7 linked regions of the Coturnix japonica genome follow. The protein of the gene in region 4 purifies or fractionates together with the protein of the main gene of each other region. This does not show direct contact. Links are inferred from orthologs where the notes say so. Each region holds a gene or a part of one and is shown on either strand. Other genes may lie near its edges.

Region 1 (4,291 bases), on a different chromosome or scaffold from region 4:
ATTCCAAGCAGTGAAGAGAAGTGAATTTCATCTACAGGTTGTGAGTCTTTCCATAATGCATTCTACATATGAACAGGCAGCATTAAATATTCTGCCTTGCTTTAAGCATACACATACCAAAGACCTTTTAGCCTCTGGAAGAAACTGTCCAAACTCAGAGAGGAGATCCTCCTGGCCTCTGAACAGATTTGCTACTTCAGTAAATACTTCTTCCTCTGACATGCCCCGAAAGGGTCGACCTTTAGTGTTAAGCTGTTCTTTCTGAAAAGATACACACAGATGTTAAACAGATACAAACACACGACTCACAGCAGCCAAAATAAAAACACAACATAAACTTCATATAACTATTAGACAGTCCAAGGCTCCTATCCCACAGGTTATCACTACATCAGCTGAAGGTTATTGAAGACAGATCCACGTACAACCCCTCTGCATCTCAGAGCCCAGGAGGTTCGACAGTTTTCACACTTCTGTCATTTCATATGAATATCTATGAGGCAGTTGTTGCACAAAGCCTGATGTCTCATTTGATAGCTGTTCAAGCAGCCACACCACAAACCCATAATCTATCTTACATTGAAGGCTTTTTACCTGATAAGTATGAAGAATTTCTAAAAAGGATCTGTAAATTTCTGGGTGGTCAAGGAAGCGCGTTTTGATCTTATTCACGTAGCTAATGGCATTATTGAACTCTACAGAATCGGACTCCAAAGGGATTTGGGATTTATCTTCTTTGTACGGAAGCTGGTGCCTAAACTCCTCAGTACAGTCACTGTGGTTGTGCGAATTCTCCTGTGAGTAATGCAACAACAGCCCGCTGCCAGGGAGGGCGCTGGGAACAGGCTCTGAGGGCACCTAGTGGCATAAGACATACAAGACAGTGACTCGTGTTGAAACACAGGTGCAACTACATCCTAGCATTGATATTTTAAATGTTTAGCTAAAACAGATTACCACATGAAGAAATAAATGTGGGGGGGAAAAAAGATTTAATTTGCTAATACATTTTCTTCCCTGTGTTATTAACACCACGAGTTAAAAACAAACAAACCCATAAGCCATATCTGACTTGGTAAACAGTCTGACTCACTGCTGCTTTTGACTGTCCCTGCATTATCCACACTTGTGAGGCTGTACCAGGTAATGTGTGCTGCAGTTCCTGTTACCACTGTTCTATGTCAGTTTTAAGAAACATTAAACTCCTGAGCAACAGAAAGATCTGAAAGATACATACTGCTACTAATCAGCATTAAACCACAACTTTATCAGCAGAATTCAGTAAGAACTCTATTTCGGCCTCCACAGCTGCACAGTAACAAGAAAAAAGGAGAGGCCAATGTGTACCCAACCATCACACACAAGATGTATTTCAGTTTTACATTGTAGCCCTTACCACATCTTAAAAACTAGGTCAGAACTTTTGCAATGTGCAATACATGCAAACGTACATAGCCTAAACAGCGCAAGAGATGTGCGAAGCAATATATTAATAGGATTTATTTGGAGTACTGTGAGCTTTATAACCTACCTGACTTGTCAGCGGTGACTGTATACTTAACTTCCCATTCTTTGGAATTTCTATTCTGTATCCCAGAGGGAGAAAAGCATTGAATCCTACAATGAGGTCGGGGTGTTCGTGGAACAGCTGTGAGACGCGTCGGATGACTCCGGGTGTGTCGATGCTAAAATTGAGAAGAATTTTGTTACTTGTGTTATGTCAGAAATACAACTTAAGGCCAAAAAACTACAGAGGTAGGTGAGAAGCCAGATGCCATTCTCATCAAAAACAAGTCTGGAATCTTCAGACCTAGGAGTGAGCCCAGGCAGAGGGAAGGAGCAGCATCCACTGCAGCCACCCACTGGGAACATTCTCCATAGAGAAGAACATGCAGGTTACCCAATATGGGCACCACACAAAGACTGAGAGCTCTCAGCAATACTCTTAAAATTCTTCATCTGTTTTTCCAAATCTGCGTTTCAGAGCAGGATGTAAAAACACACTGTTCTTTTCCCATGGATTTCTGCTCTGGAAAACAAGGAAGCAGACGGCACTGGGATGGACACCTCCTCCATCACCTCCAGCGTGGAACAACTGGGCCAGCAAGGACAGGGGAACCATGGGGTGAAGGCTGAGGAAGCCCCCAAGGTTGAGACAGCCCCGGGGCAGCCCGGGCCGGGCTTTACCTCTGGCTTTTGAACTCCTTCATGATCTCCAGGAAGCCGTTGTAGGTGGCGGGGTCACTGCCGAAGCGGATCTTCACCTGGTCCAGGTAGGAGAGCGCATCCTCCACCTGTGGGCGGGATGCTACTGAGGCCCCGGGGAGGGGGCGCACAGGCCCGGGGCGCTGCAGAGGCCTCGGCTGACACCCCCACCGCGCTGAGAGCGCCGGTGAGACGGAACAGACCCCGGGGGAACGCCGCGATACCGGAGCGGGGCTGAGGGCACCGAAACTGTGGGACCGAGGGGGGGATCAGGGGACGGGAGGATGGTGGGGGAAGGCCGCGGTAACGGGGGTGGGGAACGGGGCCGAGTGTGGGGGGGGGGAAGGCGGGGGCGCCCCGGGCTGTGGGAGCAGAGGGGCGCCCCGCGGCCCCGGGGGCGGGTTCGGCGCCGGACCGGGGCGGGGCGGGTCACGGCGGGGCGGGCAGGGCCGCTCCCCGCCGCCCTCCGCGAGGATGGGGACGAATCCCGGGGGGCCGCGCTCCGCACTCACATGCACCGGCAGCTTCTCCTGCGCCGCGGCCCGGCCGCCGCCGCCGCCGCCCCATCGCGGGGCGCTGCCCCCCCGGCCGCCGCCGCCGCCCCCCGCCGCCATGTTGGGAGTCGGAGCCGCCGCCGCCGCGCGCCCCCCGTCAGCGCGTGCGGAGCGTCTGCGTCAGCGCGCACGGCGCCACGGCCCGGCCCGGCCCGGAGCGGAACCGCCCGCACCGCGCGACGCTTCCGGCCCTTCCAGCGGCACCGGCGGGAGCGGCGGGGAAACCTGAGCGGGACGAGGGAGGGACGGGGCTGCGCGGGGTGAGCAATGCGGGACCGCTACGGGCAGCGGCGGGTGGCGGACGGACGGACGGACGGACGTTGTACGGGAGCCCGGGGCCCTCGCGGTGGCCGCTCCTATTGGGCCGCGATTAAAGGGCACAAACTGAGCTCCAGCGCCCGTTGTGGCATTTGTGGATCAAACACCGTCTTTATTTATTGTTGCTTATTCGCTGATCTTACACGCTCGTTCTGTGGTACGTGGCAGCGGTGGCTCGTGCTGTGAAGGCGAGGGGACCTGCAGGGCTACTCAACCACATCGTTCTGAAGCAGGATGAGATAAGATGGGATGGGATGAGATGAGATGGGAGGGGAGCGGCTGTTTGTGCTGTTTCAGGTTATTCATCTTGGCTTTTACAGCACCGAGCAGATGTGGGACAGCGTGTCGGTCCAGATCAGGCTCCCAGAAGGGTTTCCTTGGTCACACTGCTGTGTGCTGCACTTCCTCCTGTCCCTCCCTCTGATGTCGTTGCACAGAGCTGTGGTGGTGGTGTGCTGAGAAGAGGCTCTTGTGGGACGACAGAACCTCTCACAAATGATGCGACCCAGCCTCGTGGTGGCCACAAACCCATCTGCATTGGGGAATGATCCTACAAGCAGTGCTGTGCATGCGCTGCACCACCAGCAAGGCACCTGTGGGGCCAGGCACAGAGCAAAGGGCTTAATGTACATCCCTAACTTTGGGCTTCCCCTAATGCATGTCCCCTGCTTCCTTTCCCAGCAGACAACTGAACTCTGTTGAATTGGACCACTACTGCTACATGAGAGAGAGGGAAACCAGTATGCTATGCTGTCTGTTTCTCCATAGGACACCATAGGGATGTCTCATAGAGACCTTGGGTTGAATTTGCAATTAACTTGACTGCTATTTGAACCCTTTGCTGAGAGCTGTAGTGCTGGGATTTCAGCTTTTGGCTTTGATATTTGTAGTGGAAATGCTATGTCATGGCCTGAAACAGTGTTGGAACACCTGGTGGGAAGGCAGGGCCAACCCAGGGAGCTCAGGTGCAAGCAGTGCTGCTGAGTGATGGAGGGGTGGAGCCAGGATCCACCCCTTCCCAGCCCTCATTGAAGGGTTGGCTGTGGAGGTGAGGGTATCTCTGGTTGGAGATCCCTGCTTACTTGAGGCCTTCCAAAGGTAAGCAGTTATTTTCTTCAGTTTCTGAATTTATGGTCGCTGCATTCAAGCTCATTCTTATTTGCTGCATTCAAGTCTTTGCTAACTTGTTATTATAGCATTACAGTGTTCTACCC
Region 2 (3,500 bases), on a different chromosome or scaffold from region 4:
TAATATCAATAGGAGCATGTTCCTTTTCTCAGAACTCCAAATTATACTGGAAGAAACAAGGAAGCAGCTATTTTCCTGCTGTCATTCCTTTCAAGATAAGCTGTTTCATTTTCTTTTCTGCTTTGAAAAAAACAGTGTTTTATTTGAAACTTCAGGTTGTATCTCCCAGCTGTAACGATGACGTCACAGTGAAAAAGGACCAGTGTTTAGTCCGATCCTTTGCAGATTCCAAATTGTAAGTAACAGCTTCCCTTTTATTTTAACCTTTGTCTTCTGTAGTTCAATTCCAACTGATTTCTTCTTTGTGCTCCCCCTCCCTCCCCCTTTGTGTTGTATCTGTACTATGGCTTTGGTGTCTCAGAGAGGAAAAAGAAGTCAGCAACTTCAAAAAACAAACAACCAGATGTTAATTTCTGGTCATTCCTGTTCTGTAAAGTGTGTTTCAGTGTCAAGAAATATCCTTAATGTCGTAACTATTACAGCTGTCATCCGTGTCAATGGCAGTAGTTTTCATACCTGATTGACCCATTACCTTGTGAGCCCGAGATGTCCATTGCTGTTTAAATAGCAGAGTTTAATAAGTGTTTAATCTACTTCTAAATTTTTTTAAAGTGGATGTAAATTAATTATTTTAATTAAACAGTTAATTAAAAAGGTCCTTTTAACCTGTTATTTCCTGACTCCATACCCCCCTTGAAAAAACTGAGTGGGTGAATGGATTTGGGGGGAGAGATATGTGTGTTTCTTAAGGAAAAGTATATTGAAAATATACCAAGTCTGTTTTTCTAAGCTGTTTCCCCTTATTTGTCTTCTTTCTCATGCACTTCTAGTGCATCTCTCTCAGCATACTCTAACTACAAACATCCATGGTTAAGGCCACCTGGCACTCTTCTTCCTCACTTTCTTTCTAAGTGCACAAGTTTATTAAACATACAATACCCATAATGTTGACTCAGGCATGTCTATTTCACGTTTCAGGTAACAAAAGCCTACATATTTACTTGTTGGAAAGAAGCTTGAAATTAAGAAATACTAGAAATCTCTTTGTATGAGTCAAATACCTGTTTTACTGTATTAGAAAAATAACAGAACTTTTTTTTTCCAGTTATTCAGTAGCAAGAAAAGACATTAAAGAACTCGATGCTCCAAACTTACCAAAGTCAGAACCCTCCCCTAAAAAAGGTAAATTTGAGTAAATTGTGGGTGTTTTGAAAATGCAGTTTCATACAGCAGCAATATTAGCTTTTCCAAATTAACAGCTGCGTATTGGTTTGAAGTGAATGCTGCTGGCCATCTATTCTGCAAACAGCTTTAAATGTGATAAATTAGAGAAACTTTGGATACAACTGCCCTATTAATGACAAGGCAACTAATAGAAGTGTTGCTTATTTGGTTTTGTTTCCTTCTTTCATTCCACTTTAAATTTATTCAAATTCAAAAGGTGATTTTGGAGGTACAGTCTTTGAAATATCATTGAACAATGGCATATAAAGCTACCTCTCCTAAAACCACTGCTTTATGCTATGGTTGGAACACGTTTTGTCTTTAAATGAAAAGTACCCAGACGTGGAATTGTAACCTTTAATAGAATAGCTGATGTCAATAGCCTGAAATAATGCTTGATTGAAGAGTCTAATTACAGAGGTAGATTTTCTGAATGGATGGATGATGTGTCTGTGGTATTCATGTTTTTCCTGAGCTTGTGGAAGGCCAGTTTCTCACTTTAATGTAGATGTTCAACTTTTAGTTGATCATCCCAGTTAAAACACATCATTTTTAAAGGAGAAATTTTCAAACATTTACTTGAAAAACAAATATACAAGAGAAAAACCACCACCAAGAGGTCCTTCTATTTGATTAAAGGTGCAGAGCAGCTTCTTTACAAGTGGGGTTTTAACGTAATGCAAGTAAGACAGCTTGAGGAGGTTTTGATTTAATATTTCCCATGTACTTTGTTCCTATTAATTATTTCAGAGTACAGGAACTCTACCAGCAGTTCTTAGGTTCTGGTGCTTTTTCATCTCTTGCAATGCTGTGAATGGCTCATTGCAGTACGTCCCTCTTTTGGGGTAATCTGATTCCTCTTTATTGAAGGAAAAGAATCCGAGGTATTCCCATTGTATGAATGTGGCTTCTCCCCATACCATCACTCCCTTATTCATTAGAGTGCTTCTGTTCCAGACATGAATGGAACAGAATCTCCTTAGGCAGCTTTCTTTAACAAAATATTGGTGTGCTTTTATTTTTTGGTTTATTTCATTTTATTTTTTTACAATCTGAGGCATGAAGATCTTTTGAAAAGAACAAAGAAATTCCTGGTACCTGAACTGTGATGGCTTGGAGCTTTTGTTTGTTTTTAAGTGGATTTCCTGCACTATTTGCCACTTTCATACAGAAACAAAACAGCTTCACAGCTGCACAGAAAATGTGGATAAGTAAAGGTCTTTGATACTGTGTAAATAAATAGGTATAAGGCTTAGTAGTGTTCGGGAGGGCACGTGTCTAGGAAATACCATAGAATCATAGAATGGTCTGTGTTGAAAAGGACCACAATGATCATGTAGTTCCAACCCCCTGCTGTGTGCAGGGTCACCAACCAGCAGCCCAGGCTGCCCAGAGCCACATCCAGCCTGGCCTTGAATGCCTGCAGGGATGGGGCATCCACAGCCTCCTTGGGCAACCTGTTCCAGTACGTCACCACCCTCTGGGGGAAAAATACAGATGGATGTTCTCAAATCTAAGCTCCTCGAGTTTCTGATACTTGATTTTTAAAACCTGTCTTTAAGTATATACTATGTAGACAGAGCTACTCCATCACTTACTATCATTTTGGTTTAAGTTTGCTTCGTTAATTTATAAGGCTATGAAAAGGAAATTGAGAAATGCTTTCTGATTCTGAATACTTGGGATGAGGTATGAAGAGGGCCCTTTCTTCTGTAGGGCTTCAGGAAGCAAGCACGTTTCTCAGCACAAAGGTTGTCCCTCGGAACTGGAAGATGGACATAAGTGAGATTATGGAATCCTCTAGCAGTGATGAAGAAGATGGAGCTGCTGCAGAAACTGATGAAGAGGAAATAAAAAGAGAAGAGAAAAATGAAGAAGTACTGGTAAGTCTGGGCAATTTCAGTTATTCTTCAAAGATAATAGAATAACGTGTGTGTCTAAAGGTATTCTGCTTCATGAAGTTCTCTGTCTTAACTTCAGTGTGTTTTCAGAGCTGGGCATCCTCCCTTTGCTCCTAGTCAGAAATAAAGAATTCAAGGCAGTGATGGAAAGAATCTGGGTGAAAGAAATGAGTGAATGGATGCTGAGACAAATAGGAGTGATCCAGCATTGTGTGAAAATAGCTGTGTGCTTTTCTTTTGGGCTTCCCGTGTAGTTCATGTAAGAAAGTAGCTTCACAGAATCACAGAATCATCAAGGTTGGAAAAGACCTAGAAGATCATCTAGTCCAACCATTACCAATACTTCCCAGCTAAATCATATCAACACAACATCCA
Region 3 (3,500 bases), on a different chromosome or scaffold from region 4:
CCAGTAAATAAAATGGAAAGCAACGATTCAGGTTAAGCTGACACAAGTTAGTAACTCCTAGAAGGAAAGGGCATTGCAGCGTCTGAGAGGGTTCCTGTCTCAGGTACTAAGAACCGCAGAACAGCAACTAGGTGAGCATCTCTAGGTTCTAATTTGCCTTGTTCTCCTTGATCTCCTGTGGAAACCACTTGGGGTTGGAGCTGCTTTCTTCATTTTCAAACAGTCCAGTTGCAAAGAGTGTATGAATTGCATGCTTAGAACACAGTCAGCAGCAGAGCCAGTATAATACAAACCAGTGCAGTTAATCTCAATTGAGATTTCATCCCAGACATTTGCTGTGTATTACGTGGCACGCTTGGTTCAGTCCCTGCAAATGTAAAGGGTTATTTTCCCCTCAGGCTCCCGCTGCTGTGCTGCCAAGCTCCAGCAGTCTGTTGGTTTGTACAGCAGCCTGCTGACACTGGCTGTTGACTTGGCAGTATAAGTGCACTGACAAGGAGAGCACTGCAGTCATGGTTTGACTACATCTGCCTCTACCTGCACTGAAGAGGGGACTTGCCTGTTTTTGATTGTGATCTGTGGTGAAACATCAATTCAAAGATGTTTTCTTTACTGACCATGTGAGAGATATTAGCACAGGTTCCTTTTCAATAGCATTCAACTGCTGCAAGCCTTGAAGGTGAAGGAACTGAGTGAGAACAGTCTCTTGTCATTTTTTGTTCTGAGGATCTTAGAATACAGGCATTGTCCTAGTGATGAGTCCTGGTTCTCATATACTAAGGGATGAACTGCATCTGTGGTGGAGCCCATGTTTCTCACAACGCACTGAGAGGAGATGGTGTTAAAACACAGTACTGCTACCTCTGTGCCACTGGTAGTTGAGGTTCTTCTCCTTTCTCTCCTTCCAGCAGTCCCTCCATTGACTACAAGTACTGTCTCTCCATCTTTGGCACTGCTGGCCAACAACCTTTCGATGCCTCCAAGTGATTTGCCGCCTGGTGCCTCCCCAAGGAAAAAACCCCGTAAGCAGCAGCACGTCATCTCCACAGAGGAGGGAGACATGATGGAAACAAACAGCACTGATGATGAGAAATCTACTGCCAAAAGCTTGCTGGTGAAGGCAGAGAAGCGCAAGTCTCCTCCCAAGGAATATATAGGTAATGCCATCTCTGACACTCTTCTCCTACTTGAACATCTGTGTTTTACCTGTTGCCTGTCACGATTGCTGCCGTGCTGGTCTCCCATGTCACAATAGTAACACAGCTGTCTGTGATCCCTTTTGTAGATGAGGAAGGTGTGAGGTATGTCCCGGTGCGTCCCAGGCCTCCCATCACATTGCTCCGCCACTACCGCAATCCTTGGAAAGCCGCCTACCACCACTTCCAGAGATACAGCGACGTCAGAGTGAAAGGTCAGTGTGCTGCCTGAGGAGCTGCATGGGCTGATGATGATGATGATAAGCTGCCCCACAAGCAGGCTTTGCTCACAGTATGGAACACAAGCGTTGGTCACTCACGTGAGCTAATGACTTAGTTAGCTAGATGTTGCTTAGATCTTTTCTCTCTCAAGACTGAGAAGAAAAGGGGAGGATCTTCTATAGAGTCAGATACAATTCTAACTGTCTGGTTAACCGAAAATGTTATGTTACTGAGAAATGTATTTATGTACAAGGATAGAAACTGCCTAAAGAAATTCCTAAATAGATTATATAGCGGTAGGCTATGGCTTGGCACTCAGATTGCCTTACTACCTAACAGTGCTGCCAATGTAATCAAAAGCGTTCCCTATTTAATGAGTCTCGTGAGCTAACAGATGGGCCTGGTGCGTTTCTATGGGATGTTTCTGATAGTAAGAGGAAAACTGAGATCAGGTTCTGTGATTTGGACTTTGTGGCTGGTAGGAAGGAGCAGATAGGTATTGCAGCAGTGTGAGATGGACTGCTTGCTTCTTCATGTACAGTGTTGGAAGCAACACCTCGTTTTAGAGGAAGAAAGGGAAAATCAACATTGCAAACAATAAAAAATGATCTGAAAATGCAGATGAGCCATTGGGGGGTGAGAGCAGCCTTCAGGTAACGTGGCAGATGAGTCGTTATGTTCCTGTCCCAATCAAAGTGTTGCTGACTCTTCCTTAAGCAGGATGTGTGGAAAGCAGGAGCTGGGTTAAAGCTTTTGTTTGAGAACAGAGGCCTGGTGGACTCCTGAAACTTGAACCTCTATTTGTGTTTTTTGGTGACAGAAGAGAAGAAAGCCATGCTGCAGGAGATTGCCAGTCAGAAGGGTGTATCCTGCCGTGCACAAGGGTGGAAGGTCCATCTGTGTGCGGCGCAGCTGCTGCAGTTGGTAGGTGCATGGGACGTGCCGGCTGCCTGTACCGCGGGGAACACGGAGCTCTGTAAGGCAGGATGTTATCACAAACTCAGTACATGCTCACCTGATGCAGGGATGCCATAAGCTGGTGTGTAGCGCCCAAAGGGAGTGGGACACGCTTTTCCCCTTTCTCAGGAATGTGGCGTTAAGTGGCTTGGAAACTTAGTGTTGGTTTTGATCCAGACATAAGAGCTGATGTATTTTGTACAGATGATCAAAATTGGCAACTCCCTCCTGCTGATGCACAGGTCTGAAGAAGCGTCTGTTTGGGATGGTGCGGCTGATCTGAGGAGGCAGCACTGATCCACATTCCTGGATGCTTCTGTTTCAGGTTGGGGGTGAGGTAGGTGCTCTGCATTCTAGCACCAAACTCCCCAAAACCTCTGCATTCCTGGAATAGTATTGTGAGAGACAGGGGAAACAGTTCTGGCTAGGTTCCATGTTTGTTCAGAAGTGGAGCAATGCTGTGAATAGGATGTTTAGTAAGAACAATAATGCCACACTCAGCATCAGAGGCTCCATCTTCTGAATGACTAACATGAGCAGCTGAGAGGGGAACAGACGATTGTCTTCTCTGTGTAGATTTCATAATGTGGGCAGATGTTTTATGGGCCCGGTGGTGAACCTGCTCATGAAGTGCTGTTGTCTTGTAGACAAACCTGGAGCGTGACGTGTATGAGAGACTGACGGCCTTACAGGAGGGGCTCATTCCTAAGAAGAAGGCAGCAACTGACGATGACCTGCATCGAATCAATGAGCTGATACAGGTAGGCTCCTACTGGCCCCTAAGCTCAGAAGAACTCTTCTACCTTTAGTAATTGCAGCAGGATGTTTTCCAAGTAAGTGCTGAATCTGGCTTTAAAAATAACACAATAATAAAGGTGCTTCTCCTGCGTCATTGGTTAGTGGGGGCTTTATACAGTAAAGGTGTTTGTTGTGACTGTTTATTCTGCTGTTGGTGACGATAACGTTTTATTTCAGGGCAATATGCAGAGATGTAAACTCGTGATGGATCAAATCAACGAGGCGAGAGACTCGATGCTGAAGGTGTTGGATCACAAGGATCGTGTTCTGAAGCTTCTGAACAAGAACGGAACTGTCAAGAAAGTATCCAAATTAAAGCGGAAGGAG
Region 4 (4,020 bases):
TCAGCTCAATCAGTGAGCCAACTCTTACACCAGCCCTGTCTGCAACTACTGTAGCGCAGCAGTGAGATCTCAGCAGAACTGATGCAACTGGCAGAGACTCCCAGACCACACTGAAATTAAACCAGACATCGCTTTTCCTTGTTCAAGACTCCCACAGTGCTCAAGCTGGGTCACAGCCACCCCGAGTGGAACTGTCAGTAGCCGAGCTGTAGAGGAGCCTGCTGACCTGCTGATCTCCTATGGGAAACACAAACCCAATCCATTTACACAAAGAAAAAGGAGTGAAAGGCCGAGGTATTTGGGCGTTCCTGCACGCTGCTCTGAGGCTACCGCTCCAGAAGGGATAGGCCAAAGCATGAAAACAGTAATCAGTAAGATTTGCATAAGGAAAAAAAGAAATCCTAAACCTGTCCCACCTGCAGACGTTCCACTTCCAAAGAGGACTTTCCCCCCCCGAAACTCCTATTGCAAAACTAAAACCACGCTCAGCCTAAGCAGGAGCCCTGTAAGAAAAACCTGTGCTGCTCAATGAGTTCTGTCTGTGATGCTTATCTGGGTGCACTGCAGCTGTTAAGACGCTGCCAGCAACCACCTGCTGCTGGAACAGCATCACGGACACTCGGATCACAAGACGCTGAACAGGTTTGATTATCATTCTCCTGTAAGGTAAGAATGTCTGATGAGGACTGCAAGAGAAATAGCAGAGGGATAGGGTGAAGCGCCTTCACTGAGACACTTGTACGTCTTTAAGCGGTACCAGCAGTCATTTCATGCGGACTTTGGACAGAGCACATCCTACAGAAATTCACAAGCTCATGAAATGGAGCCCCACCCCTACGTTCTGCTGGGCCACTGCTCCCAGCGTCTGCTTCCTTCTGCTGGACAGCCCCGGCACACAGTGGGCTTAGAAACGGAGCCGCATCCATCGCTCACCACAAAGATTTAAGAGAAGCTGCGTTGAGAAACAGTGCAAAGCGCTTTAGTGACACAGTTGTTTCACATAAGCGAGGCAAACCACCGCAGCTCTAACGCTGTTTATTGTGATCCGGGTGAACGTTCCCACACTCTTAACATCTTTCTCCTAAGCAGAGAGCAGTGCTTGCTTCTGACAGAGCTGCACACAGACACCGGCTTCCAGGGATCCAGGGAGTGGAGCAGGGAGGAACTTCTCCCACGGGCTGAGAAGCTCAGCGCCTGCTTCCTGCAGGAGCACAGCAAGCCCAGAGGTGTGTCTGAATACCCCACAGCTGCAGCGATAGCACAGCCCGGAACGCTCGGCTGCCCCCAAGGACTTCTTTACTAGGAGAGTGGTTAGGTCCTGGAACAGGCTGCCCAGGGAGGTTGTGGATGCCCCGTCCTTGGAGGTGTTCAAGACCAGGTTGGACGGGGCTCTGGGCAACCTGATCTAGTAAAGGTGTATGTTTGGTGGCCCTGCCAGGCAGGGGGGTTGGAACTACATGATCCTTGAGGTCCCTTCCAACCCGGGTCATTCTGTGACTCGCCGGCACAAAGCCGTCCCGAGCAGCGCCCGCTCCGAGGCTCGTGTCATCCCTCTCGTATAAGAACATCGCGGACCACACAGCGAGCCGGAGCCGCAGAGAAGGGGCTTTCCGCAGCACGTGCGGGGCTGACAGCCCCACCTCGGGCGGCGAGCACGTGGTGTCCGTGCCCGAGCGCACGGCTCAGCCTCAGCCGGCACCTCCGCAGTCCCGACACGCGGCACCGCCGGAATTTTCGGGGGTCCGAACGACGCGGGCCCCGGGAGCCGCGCCGAGCCCTTTAAATCCCGCCGCCCCGCTCACTCGCGCGAAAGGAAACGGCGACTCAGTGCTGGCGTGAGGAGCAGAGCGGAGCCGGGTCGGACGACGGACAGGATGAAGGAGCCGACGGCGCCGAACCCTCCCGCGGCGGCGTGCTCGCACCGCGTGGCACCGCGCGGGGCAGCGCCGCGCTCCGGCCGCGAACAAAGGCCCCCCCGGTCGGGCAGCCGGCCGACCTACTTTCCGCCGCCCGGGGCCAGGTGGGGCGGCCCCCGACCCGCTGCCGCTGCCGCTGCCCTCGCACGGGCCGCACGGGGCACGTTGTGCCGGCCGCCCCCCGGCCGTGCCGCTGGCGGCGCCCCCTCCCCACCCCCGTGCGGTGCGCGCGGGTTCCTCGTGGCTCGGCCCTGACGTAATTCAAACATGGCAACAGTTGCACTTCAAAGCGCGGCGCGGGGCTCCGGGACCCGCGGGGAGGAGCTGGGGGGGACGGCGGCACCGCACGGAGCGGCCGAAGTTTCGCCTCTCCCCGAAAGTCGCCCCCGCCCCCCGCTCCACGCGCTCCGAGCCCCGGCCCGCCCGCGGCACACGGCGGCCCTTTGTTTTCCCCTTGGCCGGGCCGAGCTCCGTGCCAACGGGATTCCGCCCCAGCAGCGCGTGTCAGGGCCCCCGAGCCACAGGTGTGAGCGGCCGCACCTGCACCCAGCACCGCCGGGCTCCGCTCACTGAGCGCAAACCAACGTGCCGGGGAGCAGAGTTCAAAACAGAGGAGAAAAATAAAAAGAAAACAGCAAGAAAAAAGCACGACCACAAACTCCCAACATTAAAGTCTCCCGCCGCCTCCCGGCCGCACTTTTCTCCCCTCCATCCCGCAGGTACCGACCGACTCACCGCTGTCCCGCAGCCCAGCCCCGCTCGGCGCCGCCTCGTTCCGCGCTGTGCCCCGTGGGCGCTGCTCCCGCCGCCCTCCGTCCCGTCCCGCAGCTCCTCCAGCCCGTCCGGCCGCCCCGCAGCGCTCCGCTCCGCCGCCCCCTCCCGCGCTCCGCTCGGCCCCGCCCCTCCTCCCGGCTCCCGCGCTGTGCGCACGCGCGGTTCCCACGGCTCCATTCTCAACAATCGCGCCGTCTCGTTCGCGCGCCCCATTGTCCTTTTAAGGCAGAAAGGCGCGGGAAGCCCGGCACGGAGGGGGCGTTTCCCGCGTGACGTCACGTTCCCGCCCCGCGGTGGGCGTTTCCCGCCACCTGCCGCCCCGCGTTGGGGGCGGGGCCTGTTTGGCGCGTCCCTCCCGTAGCGCGGGAGCTTTGGGGTGCCGCCATCCCTGAGTCTTTGAGTCTTTAGGGTCTGAATTTACCCTTAAAGGCCGCCCGGTCCAACCCCCCCGCAGTGAACGGGGACACCCGCAGGTAGATCAGGTTCATCCATGTTATGAATGCTGACACACAAGCTCTAGCACGGGCAAAGTAGGGCATTGGTCAGCTCCGACATCTGATCCTATTGTGTTCCGCTCCAATATTAATGAATAAACAAACACAAACAGGCTCCTTGTTGGGAGGTGAACAGCAGCTGTCAAAACCAAACCCCGGCAGCTGTTCCCGCTTCAGTCTTGCAAGGCATAAATGCTCACAGGGCTGGGATTTTAAAGTAAATATATCAACAAAGCAGCAGAAGTATCCGTGTTATGATTTAGGCAAGTGAACAGCGACAGCAAAGCTTGATGATGCTGAGGACAGGTACGAGGTTCTGCTGTGCTGCCTGGGTGCTCAGTGCAGCGCTGAAGGTGTGAGAGTCACTGACAACAGAAACTGCCTCTCACCTAGGAAGCAAGCAGAGCATTTGCACCTCAGCCTGCCTAATAATAATAGAGCTTAGCAGAGAATAATAACCTTTCTGAGGAGCTTTTAATTGGTGTGTCAGATTCCTTTGGAGGAGCATAATTCTCTCAGATTCTTCAGGGTTTGCTCAAATTCTATAACCACACAAAAAAAAGCCAAAATATTTTATATTACTGCTTAAAAACCTTTAGTGCAGCTTCAAAGGTGCTTCTCATTTCTTTGCGGCGCTGTTGCTTTCATCCTTATTAAAGCCAATAAGGCCATTCGATGTGGATTTGTATTAAGGCGATTTGAAGACACCATTAAGAAGATCAGCCCTCTGCCTGCCAGGCTGTTTCCTGTCAAAAAACTCATCTCTTCTTACGCTGCCTTTTGAGGCACTTGAAAAACTGGAGGCCGAGTGGAAATCTACCCCTGAGATCTGGAGG
Region 5 (3,500 bases), on a different chromosome or scaffold from region 4:
AATAACAGTTACCATAATCTTAAGCTTTGTTTCCTTAGGAAAACAGAAACAAAAAAGCAATTAGTTGTGTTCAATGTGATGTTGTTACAATTACTCTATAATCAGCTTTTCCTTAGGAAAACATTACTTGATGCTTTTTAATTGTGCGCTATTCTTTTTGCTTTTCAGTCCACATAGATTCATGCTGTAGGTTTAAACAACTTTTTTTTTCCCTGAAGGATGAAATGCTGTATTTTGTTACTGTATTTTCCCACAATTTTAGAGCTGTTTGTTCAAAATTTACTTATCTTTTTTTCCTAAACTGGGATGAACGATGCTTATTTATTTATTTATTTATTTATTTATTTATTTATTTGGCTTTCCTTTGAAGGGCACAGCAGACTAAACAGGTTGAGAGAAAAAATGTTATTTTATTAGCAGAGTTCTTTCGATTTCATTTGACATGGTGGTTTTTCACATCTCATGTATTCATACTAGCAATGTAGTTTTGGTCCACTATGGTGTGAGAGAGAAAAGTATTTTAAGTTCATTTTTTGTGTGCCAGACTTCAGAACTTTGAGCCATAATGTCTACCATAAATTTTCAATTGGAAAATGCAAACAAAAATGGAAGTGTGTTGTCAAACTTGTTTTCAAATTGGATCTTAAGGTAGAGATTAAGATCCTGCATATCTTAAAAGAAGTTGAGAAAATAACATTTCCCAAGATATTTTGTTCTGTATCTCTCATCTGTCTGCCTGTATGCTCTTCTTGTATTTCAACAAGACTTCTTAAAGAAAAAATAATAATAAAAATGCGAGAGGTAATGAGAGCTGATAATTATGATATGAATAAAGCATTTTATCGTGCAAAAGCTGATATTAAACAACAGTGTTGTTTAAGTGAAGGCCGTAGCCCACTATGCTTCCTGGAGATATACAATGTAATTTAGTACAATTTATAAATGCAATTTAAATATGTACTACTAGAAATTCCTGTAGCGTGTGATCATATCTATATGGTTTTCTTTATTTTTATTTTTTAGTATTTTTAACCAAGATCAATGCCAACTTTCTCATTTTAATTTTATTTTTAATTAGCTTCTGAAAGTTCTGATGATAGTGAGCAAGAAGATGACCAAAGTGCCCAGAACATAGATGCTGATGGCAAAGAGGAATCTCAGCACGAAGCCATGAGCCAAGATAAAAATGAGTTGTGTCTAAAAGAAGAACAGGACAGTTCATCCCTCCCAGAGGAAACTAAAGCTTTGACAGATACAGTGGTGCCCAAGTCAGGATCCAAGTCTCCTGAAAGGTTGCGAAAAGAGATGGAAGAGTTATCTGAAGATACTGACTCTGATGGAGAAGATGAAGCCACAAAAAAGAAAAAGGATGTAAAAAAGGAGGTTGGGGATAAAACAGCAAAACCACAAGTAAAACGTGGTAAACGAAGGTACTGTGTTGCTGAGGAATCTTTAAAGACTGTGTCGCCTAACAGAAAGGACGAGAAGTCCAAAAACAAAGATTCCCTTAGTTTAGAAAACAGCAGCAACAGCTCTTCGGATGAAGAAGAGGAAGACAAATCTAAGCTGAAAATCACTCCCACTAAAAAGTACAATGGATTAGAGGAGAAAAGAAAGTCTTTACGGACAAGTACTTTCTACTCAGGATTTTCTGAAGTGGCAGAGAAAAGGATAAAGCTTCTAAATAACTCTGATGAAAGACTTCAGAACACCAGAGCAAAGGATCGAAAAGATGTCTGGTCGAGTATTCAGGGACAGTGGCCGAAGAAAACGCTGAAGGAATTGTTCTCGGACTCTGACACTGAAGCTGCTGCCTCCCCTCCACATGCTGCTCCAGAGGATGCTGCAGCAGAGGAGCAGCTTCAGACTCTTCCAGAGGAAGACATTTCTTTGCCTAGCTCTGAACTTGAAAAACCTTTGCCGTCTAGTGTGGACGTTAAACCTGTTGAGGAAAAAACAGCTGAAATGGGTGAAAAGAAAGTTGAATTTCCAAGTAGCGGCAGTAATTCAGTGCTAAATACTCCTCCTACAACTCCTGAATCGCCTTCATCTGTAACTGTAACAGACAGCAGACATCAGTCTAGCGTTGCTGTCTCTGAGACCTTGCCACCAAATCAAGAAGAGATAAGAAGCATTAAAAGTGAAACCGATAGCACAATAGAAGTAGACAGTGTAGCAGGGGAGCTGCAAGACCTCCAGTCTGAGGGAAATATTTCTCCAACGGGTTTTGATGCCAGCGTCAGCTCCAGTAGTAGTAATCAACCAGAGCCAGAGCATACTGAAAAAGGTAAAGGAAAACAGAAACAGAGGTGTCTTCAACCTAACATATCCTGGTGGTTTTTTTTTTGTTTGTTTGTTTTTTTCTGCATTGTAGATGTATTTTCATTGTTATGGTTACACATCTTTAGAAATGGCATAATCACCTATTGAATAAAAGATAATCTGCCAAGAAGCTTCTTGGCCTTTCAGAAAAAAATTTGCAGTAGTTTTAATGAGGAATAAACTATATAAGAATAAAGTTTATACCAGAGGTGGCAATAAAAGCCTGGAATGAACTGTAGTACTTTGTGTAGGGAAAATTTACTAGCAAGCTGAATGCATTTAAAAATACCTTGCTTGCAAGTAGATTGTATTGTTTCTCAGCGTTAGAGGATCAATTTTTTTTCTGCTTATTGGGGAGAAGAATAAGGCCAGTAATTGCATGCATAGGCAGCCAGCTCAAGCTTCTTTAATAGAAAACAACGAAAAGTAACAAGGCAAACAAATAAGAAAAACAAAGTATTCTGATCACAGGTCTTGACGTGATTATCAATATTTCAGATACGATTTTGCAGACTGAAGTTCACAACTTGAGAGCACTAGAATACAGGCCTTAAACACTGTTTATGCTTGTATGTGTAATGTCAATATTCTGTTCTTTTAACTATTTGCTAGACTGGATCCAAAAGCTTTTTTGTGGCATGCAGTGGCTGTTTCACAGCTACTTCTAAGAACCATTCACCTGCCTGAAAGTAACTAATGAAAAGGAAAAGGTGTCTGAATATAAACCTTAATACAGAAATGATTCATTCATCTCCACAGATTTCATTTCTCAGTTGTATAAAAAAATATATTTTTTTTCAAACAAATGTATTGGAATAAGATTTTATTAAAAAAAAAATGTGTGCATGTATATGTGTTAATATATATGTATGCATATATTTATGTTTATATATATATATAGTGTGTGTATATATATATATATATATAATACTATATAATATATATTCGTATACGCGGAGTGTATAAATTCCATGTGGTTCCAGAAAACTTCTGTTAATGCATTGAACGGAGTTACTTGCAGCCATCTGATGTGCACACTAACCAACAAGCCATTTTCCATCTTCCTTTACCTCCTCTTTTCAATCCAAGTAGAAAGGTGAGCCGTATTAAGTGCATACAGGAACAGCTGGTTACATTACTGTTGAGGCTTAAGCTCTGAAGCGTTTTCCTGAGATTTT
Region 6 (4,197 bases), on a different chromosome or scaffold from region 4:
GATCCCGTTTGCTATGTGGCACAGGTCGCGGCTTTCACTGGTCCGCTGCCGACGGGGTCTACGTGAAGATCTCTCCGGCTGGCAGGACTCCATCTTTGCCTTTTCTAGAGGCTTGTCGTTCTCAGACAGGTCTTGAAAACACTGAGAGTGAGTTTCCATCTGTCGGGCTCTGTTCTCTACCAGTTCCAGCATCTGAGTAACTATCTGAATTTTTTCATCTCCCAGTTCTTGACTGTTGATTAAAGCACGCTGGAGATGCTGCTGCAGGCGTTTCTTCTGAACGGGATCGTTCTCAGACTTGTATTTTTCATAGACATCGTCTATTTCTTTTAAAGCTTCTACAAAACAAACACAGTACGAATAATTACACGAGATAGAAGGTACATATCTGTATTTTGTTGAGCACGTTCAAACGGACGTGAAACAGTACAAGTTTTAATTACAGTATACCCCAGTGGGCTACATCAGGTATTTAATTCAAGTTACACCTGAGCATCAAGTCAGTGTTTAAGGTGGTAATCCACTGCATAAAAAGCTTCTCAAGTTCTAAGAAAAAGCAAGATGCTTTTGAGCACTGGATAAAGGGAAGGGTAAGCCCAGAAAGGTGAACGCTGCTGCCAAAGCCAGAATGGTCCAAATTCTGACTCAGCATCTGACAAAGCAGGATTTTTTTGCTGAGGTTCCATATTAGAGTAGTTACAAAGCCCTGGCCTACAAACCAAAGCTTCTCATACCATAGGAAGAATCTCAGAATTCACTATAATCGTGTAACCATCACATTACAATCCAAAATTAGGATATGCAGGTCCTCTGCCTCCTCCTTTCTATACACGAGGGTTTAGCACTACCTTTTCAACAGCCCTTAGTTACAACAAAGTACCACAGTGGAAGCTACATATTAACAGATGTACAATCAGGATCTAAGACAACTTAAACCACTCCAAGTGGTGCTGGTTGTACCAAGAAGTTACATCCAGTTGTGTGTTACATTGAGGCAGAACTTGTCCTCCACATTTTCCCTTTTGATGGATTTTAAAATACTATTTTCCAGACGGAAAGCGACACTACATCTACACAAGAAAGACAGAGGAACTGCTGAAGCAGAAGGAACTAAATCAGTGGAGCTGACAGCGAGATGTGACGGGGTGCTCGATACAGCACCGATCCCTTCACAACTAACTTACAGGTCTGTAACGGGTAAGCGAATTTATGAACGATACTCAACTGATTCCACAACCAGAATGGACACGGAACAATCTCTCATCCTGCACAGCTCTGTTTATAGGCTGCCTTTCATTTTTAAATTAAACGCTTTGTGCAGTTTTAGAATGATTCAAGCTCGCGCTAAATGGAAGCCACGGTTATTATCTCAGCGTTGCTCACAGTGATTTCTTTTCCTGCTGACATCCTGAAACAGCACCTTAAGAGGGAACGGTCACTTTTTACTATAAATACTGAAATCTGTATGGAAACAGTAACCAGCAGCACTTTGTTCTACTGCAGACCTTCACCAGAGGAAGATGAAGTCAGTGCTCTGCCCATCTAATAACTCACAGTGCCAGTACTCCAGCTGTCACTGAAAACACAGGTTTCGCTTTCCTACAGCTTTCAGCTGCATCTGTTGCCTTGACAGGATAAAATATTTGCTCTGAGAAGTGCCGAGTAAGGCACTCTGTAGTCTGAACAACTAGAAAGACTAGAAAATGTGTAGTGACAGAGCGACAGGTTCACTGAAGTACTTCCTTATTAACCCCTTATTAATTAGAGGAGGTACCCGTGTCCAGCTAGACAGCTTTAAAACCTCTGCTTAAAAAGGAGGCTAAGAAAAACAGACCAGGACCAAGCGTCCATTACAGTTCATCTGCTTGAGTTTGGTGGAGCTGAGAAAAGAGAGTTCCAACGCTGTCAGCACGGAGCAGCTGTGCAAATCCTGCAGGCACCAGCACTCCATCCTGACCGCCCCGTGTGCCCCCGGCGGGCACGGCCCCCATGGCGGGGCGGAGCACAGGGCTCGTAACGGCCCCGCAGCCCCGGGCACACCTCGTGCTCACAGGCGACAGCCCTGCCTGCTCGGCGCTTCCCCTTCCACCCCCCGCCGGATTTCAAGCTGAGCGGGGAGGCCGGGGCCTAACGCCGCAGCCCGGAGCCCCGCGCCCAGCGCATGTGCGGCGGGCGGCCGCCTCCCCCCCACCCCGCGCCGCCCTCCCCTCCCCTCCGGTCGGTCCCTCCCTCCCGCTGCCCCGCGGAGGAGGCCGAGCCCCGGACCCACCTTGGCAGCGGGTGTCCACCTCCCGCAGCAGCGACACGTTGCGCTGGATGTCCAGCGGCAGCGACTCCACGCACTCCAGGTATTCCTGCACGTACAGCGACAGCAGCCGGGCCCGCTCCCCGCCCGGCGCCGCCGGCCCCGCCACCAGCTGCGGCCCCGCCAGCATCATCCCCCCGCTGCAGCCGCTCCAGCCGCACATCCACCGCCGGCACCGGCTCACGGGGCAGCCCCCGCCCGGCCCGCTCCGCTCTGCCGCCTCCTGCCGCCTGCCGCCCCTCTACCCGCGAGCGGCCGGACCGCTCAATGCCGCGGGACCGGCGCACCGCCGGGCCGGACCGACCCACCCGGACCGAGCCGCCCGCCTCGGGTCCCGCTCAGCGCCCGGCGGAACGGCCGCCGCCACAGCGAAACCCACTTGGAGCCCCCGCCCCTGGTCGCCTGGCTACGCGCATGCGCGAGGCCCTGCCCTTATAAGGCGCGGCTAGAGGCGCCGCCAGGGGTTCGCATTCTCCCGCCTTCCCCTCTCGCGCGCTCCTATTGGCCCGAAGGGCGGGGGGGCGGGATATAGCGCAGGGGCGGAGCCTCCCTTAAAGGCACACGCACCCTGCTCCTCCCCCCGCTGACGGCCGGGCGCCGACTCCGCGGGGAGCGTGGCGGGGCCGCTCCCTGCCGGGGGCACCTGCCGTGGCGGCGGGCGCACGGACGGCCGTGAGGCGGAGGATCGCCCCAGGTGCCCCGGCAGCGCCGCGTGTGGGCGGGCGGCGGTTGTGGGGGCGTTGGAGGCGCGGATCCGTTCGTCAGCCGGCTGCTCTCAGCCTTGGCTCTCGGCTCGTGCTGCCCGGCTGTCCCGGCACGGCGCTATGCCGAGGTGTGGAGTAATGGCCCGAGTCAGCAGCGTGGAAAGGAACGGAAACAGGGGGGTGGGCAGAGCTAGCGGAGGGTCGGAACGTGAAGGGCAGCGATGAGTCTGAATGGTCGCGGTTCTGTGAGGAAACAGAGCTGAGAAACAGATTCCTGCCATGCAGCGTAGGAGTAAAGCAAGATACAGCGTTAATTACAGACTGTGTGCTGCAGCCTGATAGCCCCGTGACACAGCTGCACCTATCAGGTAGATCCAGACTGCAGGCTATTAATTAAGACTGTTAAGAGTTAATTACCAGGACGCATTCAAGAATTTCTCAACACGCCGAGTTACTCTATGCTGATGTAACACCTAGTGCCACAGTTAATTACTGCTGTGCTATGAAAAACATCTTGAAGGATAGTGAATAAAGCCATGAGATAATTGAGTTCACGCGTTTGAAATGACACCAGTCACCTGATGGAAGCCTGGCTTAAGGAATTCGTAACACTGTCACGTGTGAGGATGTTTTCCTTCCCACGCAGGGAAATAAAGGTGGGAGTAACTCACTGCAATTCTTGCCCTAAAAATGTCTCCACTGACTACAAGGGAGCGCAGGTCTATTGTCACAGATGTCGGCAAATTGAATTCCATTCCGTATGCTGAAATGGGGTAATTAGGCGCCTACAGTTACCAGCTACGGATGTGCCATTTGTTATAGACTCGGTAAGGATTTGGGTTAGACTTGTCAAAATAAGGGCAGCATCTCCGCGCACACCATGTACCTGCATTGACGCTGGCCTCACACAGCTTTGGATGCAGCCTTTCACTCTTGGCGGAGCAGCCGACGCGGATAAAGTTGAGCCACAAAACGGGATGGCCTGAGAGTGAGCCCCGTTCTGTTGGTGCTGCGGCCCGGCTGCCGGGTCGCTCGGCACTACCTGCGTGTCTGTGCCCGTGACGATGGCCCGCCCCGCGCTCACCCGCTCGGCCCGGAGGCGTCTCGGCGGCGTCACGTGGGCTGCGGGGCGGGGCGGGCGCCCGCGGCGCGTGGCACTCTCTGCCTGCGGTCCGGGGACTTTCCCCT
Region 7 (3,500 bases), on a different chromosome or scaffold from region 4:
TGCTCCTGAAAAGTTCTAACTTAAAATATTGGCTTTGTCTCATTAAAAACAATGTAGTAAACCTTACAAAATATAAGACAGTCAGAACTAGCAGAGCTGTCGAGGGCAATAATTTCAATAAATTGATCCACTTTGGATAAAATAATGCTTTATGCATGTTACAATCTATTCAAAAGCAACAGCTGAACAAGCTAAATTTTCATCCACAAGAGAAGCATGACGGTCACTGAAAACAAAGGGAGTTGCTGGTCATTGTGGGTGTTATTTTTATCAAACAAACTGGTCACCAATGAAAAAAAAAGAATTTTTTATTTTTTCCATTTTAAAAGATCAACATTTAATGAGAAATTCTGAGCCATTACATTTGAAGAGCATACTTCATATCGTAAGCACTGGACCCAATTTAGAGGTAAAATGTCAGTTAACATGATTTAACATCCTCAGGTTTCTGAAGGCCGTCCATATGAAGTTTACATACAGCGCTACAAATACACATCAGATACTGCTGTAAATTTATGAGGAATACAAAACGCTATTAAATACAACTTTCATCCCATGGCACATCAAGCATGGCTTAGCAACAGTCAGTTGTGGTTATGCTTTATTGAATACTTTCCTTTCTGTAGCTGAGAAATATACAGCTTGGATTTGCTTCCATCCGGTCTTTTGAACCAAACTTCATCATGGTTAATTGTTGTAATTATGGCACTACAGAAAATGAGGGAAGAAGGGCCAGGGAAAGAAAAATAAGAATCATTTAGCAAAGTTAAAGAATAAATAACATCAAAAACTGCAGCTGTAATGTAAATGAAAACACATAGTAGGTATAACCGCTAGGCTCAGAAAGTACTGACTCCATTGTAAGGATGGTTTTGGCACCATTTTTTAATAACTGTGTATATTTCTAGTAAAGACAGTTGAATTTTCAGACAGTTATTTTTATTTCTTTTATGAGAAAATCATCACATCTACAAATACTTTAAACGTTACGAAGGACAGTCACTCAGAGTAATCAATAGACTACCCACAGTACACTAGAAAGCATTTCCAGAACATCCTTAAACTTATAAAACCCCAAGGTGTAGAACTAAAACAAAGCTCAAATAAACAAATGAATACAAGGAAGAAAGTGTTCAACTGTTAATCCCAGCACCAGGACCATGAAAAATAAAGCTAAAGCCTGACCTATTTAATTTAACCAAATCATTCTTACATGATCTTTGATTTCATGCTCCTTGTGGTAAACTCCAACACAAATACTGGGGAAAAAACCCAAACCTTAAAATGTTTCTTCCAAACAGAACTGGTGCCAAACATAGCTCAAAAACAGATTAAAACAGTGGAAGCAGAGGACAGACTCTATCAGGGTCCTCTATTACAGGACAAGGGGAAATTGCTTCAAACCAAAAGAGGAAGGATTTAGACTGAATAAAAGAAAAAGTTTTTTATAACAACTGTAGTGAAGTAATGGCACAGGCTGCCCAGAGAGGCTGTGGATGATCCATCCTTGAAGGCATTCAAGCCCAGGCTGGATTGGGCCATGGATAACCTGGCCTAGTGGATAGCAACTCTGTCACAGCAGAGGGTTTTGATCTAGTTTATCTTCAAGACTCCTTCCACAAGCAACAGCAAAAAGTAGTTTTCCATGATTAAATATTTTACAGCTGGCCAACAGATCAAAGTCTCAGCAAGAAAATTCCCAAACACAACCCTTAAATCACAGGCTGTCCAGAAATTGGTTAAGAGCTTCAATCCTTTAATAAAATCCCATCCTAAAGCGAATTACCTTCGGTAAAATTCAACCTTCACAAGGATGAATTTATTTCCAATTTATTCTTCAAGGCCACCACGTTGCCTTTTGCTTAACAGGACTATAGAGAACTGAATAAAATAATACTCACCTTGTAGGACATTCATCTTTCTTATCAATGTATATCGTCTGTCCACGTCCATACCACTCTCCATCATAATACAGTCTTCCTTCTTCAGATCTAGCACTATGTAGATGCTTCTCTAGTTTGACAGGTGCTAAAACAGTCAAATTTAATATCAGTTGGCAGAAGTCGGTAAGATTTAGAAATAAACATCCAGTAAATTATTTATACACCACATATGCAATTTTTACATTGTCATAGGTAGTCTCTCTCTAGATAGTTAGCTCCAAATGCAAGAAAATTAGAAGCATTATATTTATTTCTTTCCAGTCAGATAAATTAAAAGCTGCATTTCCATTTTAAGTTCTCTTTCATACAACCCTCCAATCTATGATGTGAAATTTCACAATTAGAATAATGCAACAAGACACATAATCCGAAATCTCTTCATCAGTGCATTATGCCCGAATGCAAGCAGTAACTGACCACTGAAGAAACCACTTGTCTTCTCTCCCTTTTCATCATTACTCACTACCTCCAAGCACTTGATTTTACCTAGCATTAATATGCTTCTAACCTCAGACCATGTTATCATTTACCACTCCTTTTCCATATATGTTTTTTCAGAGCTACAACTTGCAGTGAATGCAACGTGTGTTCAGAATGCTCTCTTAAAATTCAGATGATTTCAGCTTTCTGCCTCATTTTATGAAAATATTGGCATAATATACCAATATTCACTAGTAAAGCCCACTCTTAGAAGTCTTGATTTTTTAATTAATTTTTACAATTCATGCAGCAATGACAATCACCAATCCAGCTGCAATTATCAACAACTCAGAGCAGGGATAGACATATTCCAATTAGCTCACCCTACCCTGTGTTCAGCATACCAAGGCTAAAATAAATATAGCCTGCTTCAATGCAGTTTGCATCACTGTATATTGCAAGCTCTGTCTTGTGAAATCAGACAACATTTACTTACGTTCTGGCTTTACTCTGTGTGGCCCCAATGTAGCCATTGCCTAGAAACAAAAGAAAATGAAGACAGTCAGCAGACATTTTTTTCTTAATTGCCAGCTCAAATTGTTTTGCACAGCACAGCTCAAGACATTTGTTTTTATGTGCAGCATTAATGTTATGTGATACTGATGACACTATGAAATGCGTGCAAACTTTGAGTACTTTTTGGGGGAAAAAGCAAACGTTACTTTATTAATATGAACTGCTTGGTTACACTTGCTTTTAACTATTTGGGGAGGGGAGGAAAAATGACATTCTCTAATGAGTTTTGACTTTACTAATTTCAAGTTTCCTAAATAAAATTCTCAAAAATGGCCATTATTCTATTAAAAAAAACAAAACAAAACAAACAAACAAAAAAAACCAACACAAAATGACAATAATTCTGGTTCTGAAAAACTAAGTGCTATCTGAACAACACACCCTCCAGATTATTAAGTTATACCCACAAGCAGACAATTCACGTGAGTGAAAAGCTGTGAATCATATGCAGCAAAGTAGATTTTTAATTCTTTTTTGTTGTTGCTATTTCTTTAAATCATGTTACATTACAGCAAAGAAACTGAGTGAAAGCTATTTTTAATCTGTGCCTCCAATGAGACA

What was found.
Region 1: the proteins of SINHCAF (region 4) and SIN3B purify together in Homo sapiens (affinity purification with mass spectrometry; 3 studies listed by BioGRID and IntAct, counting the BioPlex papers as one, with this or other methods). This does not show direct contact. The link is inferred for Coturnix japonica from reciprocal best matches to the Homo sapiens genes SINHCAF and SIN3B.
Region 2: the proteins of SINHCAF (region 4) and ARID4A purify together in Homo sapiens (affinity purification with mass spectrometry; 3 studies listed by BioGRID and IntAct, counting the BioPlex papers as one, with this or other methods). This does not show direct contact. The link is inferred for Coturnix japonica from reciprocal best matches to the Homo sapiens genes SINHCAF and ARID4A.
Region 3: the proteins of SINHCAF (region 4) and SAP130 purify together in Homo sapiens (affinity purification with mass spectrometry; 3 studies listed by BioGRID and IntAct, counting the BioPlex papers as one, with this or other methods). This does not show direct contact. The link is inferred for Coturnix japonica from reciprocal best matches to the Homo sapiens genes SINHCAF and SAP130.
Region 5: the proteins of SINHCAF (region 4) and ARID4B purify together in Homo sapiens (affinity purification with mass spectrometry; 3 studies listed by BioGRID and IntAct, counting the BioPlex papers as one, with this or other methods). This does not show direct contact. The link is inferred for Coturnix japonica from reciprocal best matches to the Homo sapiens genes SINHCAF and ARID4B.
Region 6: the proteins of SINHCAF (region 4) and ING2 purify together in Homo sapiens (affinity purification with mass spectrometry; 3 studies listed by BioGRID and IntAct, counting the BioPlex papers as one, with this or other methods). This does not show direct contact. The link is inferred for Coturnix japonica from reciprocal best matches to the Homo sapiens genes SINHCAF and ING2.
Region 7: the proteins of SINHCAF (region 4) and BRMS1L purify together in Homo sapiens (affinity purification with mass spectrometry; 3 studies listed by BioGRID and IntAct, counting the BioPlex papers as one, with this or other methods). This does not show direct contact. The link is inferred for Coturnix japonica from reciprocal best matches to the Homo sapiens genes SINHCAF and BRMS1L.

The regions. Positions count from the first base shown.
Region 1 is NC_029543.1:3,324,330-3,328,620, forward strand, and holds the start of SIN3B (paired amphipathic helix protein Sin3b), read right to left. Parts: upstream 2,801-4,291; 5' UTR 2,718-2,800; intron 2,295-2,717; 5' UTR 2,211-2,294; coding exon 2,188-2,210; intron 1,686-2,187; coding exon 1,532-1,685; intron 859-1,531; coding exon 595-858; intron 262-594; coding exon 118-261; intron 1-117.
Region 2 is NC_029520.1:50,228,777-50,232,276, reverse strand, and holds part of ARID4A (AT-rich interactive domain-containing protein 4A), read left to right. Parts: intron 1-155; coding exon 156-235; intron 236-1,105; coding exon 1,106-1,182; intron 1,183-2,940; coding exon 2,941-3,107; intron 3,108-3,500.
Region 3 is NC_029524.1:1,643,929-1,647,428, forward strand, and holds part of SAP130 (histone deacetylase complex subunit SAP130), read left to right. Parts: intron 1-908; coding exon 909-1,157; intron 1,158-1,285; coding exon 1,286-1,411; intron 1,412-2,238; coding exon 2,239-2,342; intron 2,343-2,579; coding exon of another isoform or gene 2,580-2,672; exon of another isoform or gene 2,673-2,712; intron 2,713-3,022; coding exon 3,023-3,136; exon of another isoform or gene 3,137-3,137; intron 3,138-3,350; coding exon 3,351-3,500. UniProt on the Homo sapiens protein: Acts as a transcriptional repressor. May function in the assembly and/or enzymatic activity of the mSin3A corepressor complex or in mediating interactions between the complex and other regulatory complexes.
Region 4 is NC_029516.1:52,980,498-52,984,517, forward strand, and holds the start of SINHCAF (SIN3-HDAC complex-associated factor), read right to left. Parts: upstream 2,801-4,020; 5' UTR 2,652-2,800; exon of another isoform or gene 2,644-2,651; intron 1-2,643. UniProt on the Homo sapiens protein: Subunit of the Sin3 deacetylase complex (Sin3/HDAC), this subunit is important for the repression of genes encoding components of the TGF-beta signaling pathway.
Region 5 is NC_029518.1:34,320,297-34,323,796, forward strand, and holds part of ARID4B (AT-rich interactive domain-containing protein 4B), read left to right. Parts: intron 1-1,078; coding exon 1,079-2,287; intron 2,288-3,500. UniProt on the Homo sapiens protein: Acts as a transcriptional repressor. May function in the assembly and/or enzymatic activity of the Sin3A corepressor complex or in mediating interactions between the complex and other regulatory complexes.
Region 6 is NC_029519.1:35,244,523-35,248,719, forward strand, and holds the start of ING2 (inhibitor of growth protein 2), read right to left. Parts: upstream 2,801-4,197; 5' UTR 2,469-2,800; coding exon 2,270-2,468; intron 339-2,269; coding exon 1-338. UniProt on the Homo sapiens protein: Seems to be involved in p53/TP53 activation and p53/TP53-dependent apoptotic pathways, probably by enhancing acetylation of p53/TP53. Component of a mSin3A-like corepressor complex, which is probably involved in deacetylation of nucleosomal histones.
Region 7 is NC_029520.1:32,955,584-32,959,083, reverse strand, and holds part of BRMS1L (breast cancer metastasis-suppressor 1-like protein), read right to left. Parts: intron 2,900-3,500; coding exon 2,860-2,899; intron 2,029-2,859; coding exon 1,902-2,028; intron 709-1,901; coding exon 585-708; 3' UTR 1-584. UniProt on the Homo sapiens protein: Involved in the histone deacetylase (HDAC1)-dependent transcriptional repression activity. When overexpressed in lung cancer cell line that lacks p53/TP53 expression, inhibits cell growth.